Linked DNA regions of Kluyveromyces lactis. The protein of the gene in region 2 binds, or shares a complex with, the protein of the main gene of each other region. Links are inferred from orthologs where the notes say so. Each region holds a gene or a part of one and is shown on either strand. Other genes may lie near its edges. The genes, in order: LAS17 and BBC1.

What was found.
Region 1: the proteins of BBC1 (region 2) and LAS17 are in contact, whole or in part, in a crystal structure (PDB 1ZUK), measured with the Saccharomyces cerevisiae proteins. The link is inferred for Kluyveromyces lactis from reciprocal best matches to the Saccharomyces cerevisiae genes BBC1 and LAS17. Residues at the interface, in NP_012514.2 of Saccharomyces cerevisiae: Phe14, Tyr16, Tyr20, Asp23, Asp39, Glu41, Trp42, Ile58, Pro60, Ser62, Phe63; in NP_014824.1 of Saccharomyces cerevisiae: Arg350, Gly351, Pro352, Ala353, Pro354, Pro355, Pro356, Pro357.

What each region holds. Positions count from the first base shown.
Region 1 is NC_006039.1:433,089-437,332, reverse strand, and holds LAS17 (actin-binding protein LAS17), read right to left. Parts: upstream 2,614-4,244; coding exon 652-2,613; downstream 1-651. Other genes in the region: KLLA0_C04796g (uncharacterized protein), read left to right, coding at 1-526; KLLA0_C04752g (uncharacterized protein), read right to left, coding at 3,401-3,805; CTS1 (chitinase), read left to right, coding at 4,027-4,244.
Region 2 is NC_006042.1:1,351,244-1,355,695, forward strand, and holds BBC1 (Bbc1p), read right to left. Parts: upstream 3,109-4,452; coding exon 553-3,108; downstream 1-552. Other genes in the region: pseudouridine synthase PUS6, read left to right, coding at 1-394; PEX35 (Pex35p), read left to right, coding at 3,394-4,431. UniProt on the Saccharomyces cerevisiae protein: Involved in the regulation of actin cytoskeleton.

The DNA.
Region 1 (4,244 bases), on a different chromosome or scaffold from region 2:
CTTGACTGAGTATTTGTCTTCTTCAGTGAAGCTTCTACAAGATTCAATCGAAGAGTTAGAAGAGTGGTTGGAGGATCCAGTAATAAATTCAGACCCATTCGGAATGAATGACAAGTTCAGTGATGAGGAAGGTACGGATTTAGATGAAGAAGAGGAAGAGGAAGCTTCAGAATCCATGATTGAATTTGTCAAATCACTATCGCAAAAATCTCGTCTCCTTAAGCTCTTGTTGAGTTCATTATCCAAATCGATAACCATAAAAAAGGATACTGTAACTACAGCAGCATATCTATCTGAGCTAAATCAACTCCACAATTCAATAGTTTCTAACTCTGATACTTTAATTTCATCCACCTTAGTGAACGCTGAATATGAAGTAGATCCAGAAGTGGAAACATCAGTACTTGCTATCAATAATGATGTTAAGAAAGTTATAAAAATTATTACACAGCTAAACGGTTCAGATGAGTCCAAGTTGAAATGGATACAGGTATGGTCAAATAAGTGGAGTTCTTTGAATAATTAGTTTAGTTTTATCTGTCTTCTGTTTTAAAGGCATCTGAAAGTAATATATAGGTACACCGTACATACAAATACCAAATCATAATTCCACAGTCTAGTCAGATGCAGTTCAAGTAGGGTGAATTACTTTCACCAATCATCACCGTTGTCTATATCATCGTCACGAGCAACTTTATTCTTTCTTTGGTTTAAAGCCGCAGCTAGGGCATCAGCCAAGGACGCAGGAGCACCAACAGGTCCGCCAGTTGACCCGCCTGTGGGTTGAGATACCGGCGCATCACTACGAACTTCTTGTAACAAAGGACTTGGCTTTTCAAGTTGAGATTTATCCACCTTACGGAGGGAATTCAGACCAGCTCCACGAATCGATGCTAATAAGGCATCCCTTCCAGCATCACCAGTATTTTCAACAAAACCAGATCCTGCTTCAGGTTGATTAAATGCAGGGGCTGGAGGAGGAGGAGGAGGTGGTGGTGGTGCGGGCGCTGAGTTCGTTATCTGTGGAGCAAAAGGTGCCGGAGGGGCAGGAGGTGCTGGGGGAGGTGCAGTGCCATTAGGTACCGCTATATGATGCTGGGGTTGGGCTAACATAGGCTCGGTCGATGGGTGATACTGAGTGCTTACACCTGAGTGGGGTGGTAAGACAGGGGGAGGCGGAATGTATGCGGTTTGCTGTGGTGGTTGATATTGCTGAACAGGAGGCGCTGCATTGTAGGTATTATGCTGTTGAAGAGGAGGAGATTGCATTTGTGGTGGAAGCTGGGGCTGGGGAGGGCCGATGGCTGAGTTATGAGTTGTACCTCTGCTTGCAGGTGGAGAAGGAGCCTGGCCACCACGTCTAGGTGGTGGTGGTGGTGGAGGCCCTCTTCCAGTACGACTATGCTGACCGCCAGTTGGAGCATTAGGTAGAGGACCTCTTGAAGGAATGGACGGCGGAGCAGCTGAGCGTCTTGGAGGGGGAGGTGGTACCGGACCACGCCTCGAAACTGGAGGAGCAATACCAGGTCTCGTTGAAGTTGGTCTCGGAGGTGGTTGCAGACCAGCAACAGAATATTGTCCAAACTGAGGAGTGTTGTTATTAGTGACGTTTTGTTGTTGAGCTGGATGGGAAGGTGGAGGAGGGATTGCAACGCTTTGCTGCATAGGCGGAATCGAAGGAGGTGCTGCAGGTGAAGGAGAATTATGCTGCTGCTGGAATTGCGGATGAGGTGACTGAGCCAGTGGACGATATTGTTCTGCTGGTAAAGGAGGAGGAACTGCATGTACCGGGTGGTTTATTGGTGGAGGAGGATTACTTGGTGCTGGTGTTGATGCATAGGATGAATCCGGGGTAGGAGAATGAGTAGAGGAAACCGATGGAGGTGCAGGAGAGCTTGGGAATGATGGAATAGAGTCGTACTTATAAGATGGGATGCTCACAGGAGGAGGAGGTTGTTTCTCGACAGGCGGTGGCGGTGGTTTCGAGGCAAAAGAAGGAGGAGCGGCACTTGCATCTGAAGCTGAGTTTTCAGTTGAAGCATAATTCTGGCTGGGCTGCTCGTAATGGTGTTCCTGGCGGTGCTCGTGCTTTTCCGGTTCATATCTATATCTGACCCTTTGGTCACTGATCAAGGATTCGCCTCTTGGACCATGGATCACTTTACTCTCTTCCTCTTTCTTAATTTGGTCCTCTAATGCAATTGCATTCTTGTTGGCCAAGGTCTTCTTGGACGCGTATTTCTCCCGTTTCTGTACTCGTTTCAAAAAATGTGAAGCATCGCCAATATCGGTGAATAACAACCCGGCGTTACATTGTTCTAATTCAAAGGTATGAAAGAAAGTACGATCCTGGTTATATTGAAAGTTCACGTACAATTCTTGATCCCAGAGAACACCTCGATGCCCATGCACGTCGATCAACTTCAAAAAGAAAGTATTACCAACGATATCGTCCACCAATGCAATGGCACCAGATAAGCCAGTATAAACCCATTTCTCTGGATTAGGGTATGCAATGTATAACCTAGCGATAGTAACATCTATAATCTTGTTAGAAGCCTTGGGCAAAGCATGTTTAACCTTTTCTTTCTCAGCAGAATTCAAGCCTCCCATAGTATACTCGGAAACAACTGCTTTATGATTATTAATTTCTCAAAAGAAGTGTAAACTCGTTCAACTTGAAATCAATTCTTGACGGAGGCAGCTACCGATGGGTTCTAATGAAAATAACACAAACGCGCGATGCACTTTAGGGAGTGGGGGGGTTTGGCTGACTATAATTTACGGTTCTTAAGTTTTCGGTCTGTTTAACATTTCGCAACTTTTCAATTTTTCAATATTGAAAGTTGAAGCGATTCTTAATACGGCATTATTCCCCTATAATTCACAGAGTGATTCAGTGAAAGAAGAAGGGACCAACAGAACTGCGAGAGAGATAAAAAAAAAAGGACCTTTACACAATGGGGTTTGTTCAAGTTGCCATATTGAATTCAAAAGTACTAACAGACCATTTGTAAATGGGAATACAGTGTGCCCATTTAGGTCACTGCAAGGTACAGGAAAGACAAGAAGCATTTCAGTACGAACACGCATTCGAACATAATACGGAGAAAAATTAAGAGTTCTGTTTACTGATACATCTGGCCGACGCATGTGGACGTGGTTACAGCGGCACAATGGCAGAAGAATTTCTGTCCTGACCCAGGAACCGTCTGGCACTGCAGCATCTGACAAAAGTCAGAATCACTTTGTACGTGTTGATCGCTTTATGCTGGGTTTTTTTGGCAACCAGCATGCGGTATTCAAAAGGTAAACAACAGCTACATGCTCGAAGAGATCAGAGGGAGAAACATCGAAAGATGGTTTTTTTTTGCAGGTGGACGGTGTTTGGATTGCGTGCTTATGATGTGAAATAGTTTACAACAGGCGGCGTGATTGGGTTTACATTTTGTGTCTTGTTTACAGTTACGTTAAACGTAAATGCTTTCTTCTCTTTAGTCCAGCGTAAAACTCTTCCAAAAAGAATTCTTTTTCCTAGGCACTTTTTTGACACGAAATTATGTTTTAGCATATTACAGGAACAGCTTTTGGATGTTGCGAAACAAAACGAAACGAAACAGAGTAAACATAAACAGTGAGCAGGAGCAAGTGTTTGAGAATGCTTTCTGTGGTGTGTTTGTTTACATGCTTTGGAATGTTTGAAACAAGTGCTGGGGTCCAGCTCGATGTCATATTTTGTGATTTCTGGTATATAAAGGGCACAACAATGGCAGGATGAGGTACCAGTAATGCAACTATCAATCATTGTGTTAAACTGGTCACCAGAAATACAAGATATCAAAAATTACTAATACTACCATAACAGTACTTACCTGTGTGCGTGTGCTATCTCTCTATACAAGCCTTTAAATTTTAATCTGTCACTCTTTATTAAAGGATTACATATTCTGACATTCGCAGGATACTAGTATTGAAATTAGAGAACACCCTCCATTCATTCCTTTAAAAGTATTAACAGAATCTACAATGTTTCACCCTCGTTTACTTCTGTTGTCTTTGGTTCAACTTTTGCTCACCTCGGCATTTGACATAAACGCTAAAGATAACGTCGCTGTGTATTGGGGCCAAGCCTCTGCAGGCACTCAAGAATCGTTAGGTACTTATTGTGCTTCGGACAATGTTGATGTTGTCGTCTTATCCTTCCTATACCAGTTCCCTGACAACCTAGCTATTGATTTTGCTTC
Region 2 (4,452 bases):
ATTATGCAAACCTTTCACGGGAAGAACACATCAAATTCGTATCCATTTGGCAAGACAGGGACACCCCATTACAAACGATCCGTTTTATAACCTTGATAACTCAACGTACCCATTACGGTCAAGGTTTATTATTGAGACCCCAGATTGGACTCAACTAACAAACGAAAGAATCGAAAAGCTACGGAAGCGGTTCGAGGTTGAACTGGATGATGTCTGGGATCAATTGAATGAAAATCAAGAACGATGTCCTGAATGCGACGAAGAAATGCCAAAAGATCCAACTCCAGAATCGTTAGAGCTATATCTACATGCTTGGAGATACAAAGGTTTGGATTTGGAGTTTGAAACAGATTATCCCTACTGGGCGAAGTTCGAAAATGAGAAACAAGCTTAACATCAAGTTTTGAGTTGTTTCTTTATTCATGTATTTAACTTTTTTAGTATCCTTCTCAATCAATATTGTATATACTATATATTTATTCAAATAGCAGCATATGTGTTCTTGCATTTGTTCTTCAAGAGGTCAATTTGTTTTACTTCCTTGTATCATTCTTACCAACCAATGTCCTTGCGATGTACTGGCTTGGCCACCTTTAACTTTCCTTTAGTCAAGTTTTCAAGTGGATACATAGATACTTTGCACTCACCACCAAGCTCTTCAATCACTGATAAAGATTGAGTTTCAAGATCCACAGATTTTAGAATGGCCACAAACGGCGTTTCTATTCCCAAGCTGTACGTTAAACCATCGTCAAAGGTAAATTCAGCGTTTCTTGCAACAAGTATCAAACCTGGTACCAATTTTCCTAGCGCAGCTTCATCTATTGCGGTGTTATAAGCATGTTCAAAAACGGTGATACCGTAAGTTCTTTGAGCAATTGGTGGGACTAGATTATCTATTGGACCCAATATTTGAGGAATAAATGAATGACAAGCTTTACCAACACATTTGTTACTGTTTTCGTAAATTGTTTTGATTAACAGATCACTACCAGTACTTTGTGATGAGGAGGGAATATAGTCCTGATGGGAAATTGCTGTCTCAATTGGATTCTTTGGATCATATACAACATATGCTTGAATTTGAGAGTAATCTTCGAACAAGAACTGGAAATCTCTGACAACCAACTTATTTGTATTCCTTCTTTCAACTATGTGATCCTGAGATTCCCAGATGTATTTTACTTTGCTTGGTTTAACAGTATCAGCCTGAACTGTCTTAGTTAACCACCAAGTACTTTGCTTTGAGAACTCTAATTCTGGAATAGTACCTGGTTCAAATTTCGCCGTAGTTGTCCGTCTTAATGGCTGGAAACTGGCCGGAATTTGTGGAGCAGCAGATGAAGGAGTGGCTGGTGATGAGTTTGCTGCACCTGGAATAGTCTGAATTGAAGGTCTTCGTTGCGGTGCATTAGAAGGAGGCAATGGTGGAGGGCCGCCACTGCTTGGTACTGGAGGAGCAGGGGCAGCAGCGGGCTGTTTTGTTGGCAGTTTCTGCTCAGTGTTTTCGGTTTTAACGCTTAAAACTGGTGCTGGAGCCTTTGTTGGTAATGGTGGTACAGGTACGCTTGAAGGAACAGGAGGAATTGGTGCACCTGTTGGAATTGGCGGGACGGAAGGAGCAGATGGAATTGGAGGGGCTGCGGGCAATTTTTGTGGGGCGTTAGTAGCTTGTGGAGTTTGTGGAGTTTGTGGGGATCCCGGAGAAGTATCAATTGTATAAACATGAGTGGGCCTAATTCTTTGAGGAACAGTTGGCGACGGAGCCTCCTCTTCTTCATCTTCCACTTTCTTAGTAGTTTCATCTTCGGATTCATATCCAGAAAGGCCTTGACTTCCCTCGGGTACTTCATCTTTATGTTGGAAGTCTGGGTCTTTGTCGTAATTCACCGAACCTGTAATAGCAGGTTGAGCATCATCGACTCCATCTACAAAGCTAGATTCGCTTTCTTCGTCAGCTTGATTTTCTGGGGTTTCGGCATGACCAGAAGTTTCCACAGCAATTTCTTCAGTCTTCTTCCTAAACATTGGCAGCATCGATGGGTCGGCAAATGGCATGACAGGAACCGCTGTTGGAAGAGATGACGTTTCAGTTGGACTTTCAGATTCTTCCTTTGGTTTCTTGCTTTTGGTTGGGGTCTTCGAAGAGTCAGCAGAAGGCATTGGCATTCCAAATGGGTTGAAGTACGCATTAGGCATACCGTATCTACTTGCATTTGCTAGTCTTGCCATCTTTTCTCTTAAAGCAGCACGTCTTTGTTCCTCTTCATTTTCGTCTTCAGAAGATTCATTTTCATCATTATCATCACGATCGTCATTCTCGTTAACTGACTCCTCAGGAATAGAGTAGGTACGCTGAGGGTGAGAGCCAATTGAAGCAGTATCATTAGGAATTGGTGGAGCTGTGTGAATGCTAGAAGTACTGACATCAACTTCTGGATTTTCAGCATCGGAATCTTCAATAACAGAGGCATCATAACTTTCCCTTTTTTCAATATTAACTGGAGAAGTTGCACTAGCAGTAGCAACGCTGCCGGTTGGGGACGACACACTAGAAATACTTTTTTTCCGCTTATGCAAAGTTTCCGCCTGTTCCTGTTGTTGTTTCTGCATATGCTGTAACATGGATATCCTTTGCTGCAAGGACATTTTAGATTCCGACTTAGCCTCCTTTACCAAATCATCGCTATTAACAAAACCACTCCTCTCAGTATCACCAGAACCTTCTTGAAACGACAGACTATTTCTCAACTGTCTGACATTATCCTGAGAAACCTTTCCCTTCTGGACTGGTGCAGTTGCAGCTGCAGCATTTGGATTGACAGTCTGTGTTTCCGGAATCTTGACCGGAGTTTCCACATTTGGTTTCTCCTCTGGCTGCTTCTCTTGAGCAGGCTCACTAGCAGTTTCCTTCAAAGGTTCACTAACAAAACCTTTGGGGAAAATACCTTGCTTTGTTTTACCATCAGCATCCTTAAACTCACCAAAGAACCACTCATCGTCTTCTATTTCAAGCACCGTAATGATCTGACCTTTGGAAAATGGTAAATCATCCTCAAAATCTGAGGTGTATGGAAACAATGCCTCGACCTTAAATGGCACAGACATCTTTAACACGTAATCTAGTTTCGAGAACTGTTCTTCTAGTAAGCTGGTCCTTTTATTTCACTCGCCGAGTGTTCTTTGTTAAAGGGGTGGTGAAAAGTTCGCGATATAAGGAATCGTTTTAATTTCAAAGGCTTTAGTAACATTTTTCCAAACAATTTTAAAGGATTAGATTTCACCGAAAGGTAGATAACGAACGAATGATAGACTTCACGTCAATTGAAAGGCATATATGAACGTTCAATCAGCAGGTGAGGGTTGCAGAACTTATGACTGATTGGATAAGGCATGACATTGAATTCGAATACTCGTTTGGCGAGATTCATTCGATTTTTAGCGTACGACTATGATTCGGAAATTGATAGAAACGCTTTGTATCGTCGCATCGTTGGAGTTATTGGTGTTAATGGGTTTATAGCATTGTTAAAAAAGCACCGGAAGTTAACGGCCAGTTCATTATTCGATGGTTTGCCTATCGTTGTTGCTATACCGTTACTGAGAAGGATAATTCGTCAAAGACATGCCAGCTGGTTCCTGGGTTTAACGATTGGTCTCTCGCAGCTCAAGGCTAAGCTACCGCATTGGATTGTTTCATACTGGGCTGTAGAATCTGTTGTAGATCAAATCAAGCTCTGGGTTGATTATTCCAGTATAAGCGAACGCCGTTGGATTCTTCTCAGGCAATTGGCAGCTAGTCTCTTGATACCAATCCTATACCACAGAAATCAATCGAAGGGGAGATTATACAGGATATTATTCGAGACTAGAAAACCTTGGAAGGACTTCCTTTTGTTATTTGTCGCATGGAATGTCGTCAAGACTTATAAGAATGTGAAATCCATCCTTTTGAAAGAGAAGCTTAAGAAGAATAAAGTGAATACTTCCTCAATGACGTTCGATTCAGAGGCAAAGGAATCTCAGACACAACATGGTTCAATGACAAGGATACTCATGCAAAGGTTAGAAGAGTTAAATGAGTTATCCGATAAGAAATCAAGCGGGTCGGTCAAAGAACGAGTGTATGGTTATTTCTTCAGTGACAATTTTATCAAATGTGTAAAATGGACGCTCTGGAGACAGGTGGTGATGTTAATCTTCAACGGTCAACATTCCAAATGTCTAAAGCCATTACATAAATCGATCATCATCATGTTGTCATTCACTTTGCTGAGCGACCCACAACATTTAGATATTAACTGGGAGCTACTCAAATACTTGGGGAGATCAACGTTATCTCAAGAACTTGGTAGGATACCACATTATCAAAAACCAATCATTTTCGCTGCCCTTAGTCTCTCATATCTAACCAGGAACCCAATTGCCTAATAAACAGACTGATTTGTTCCT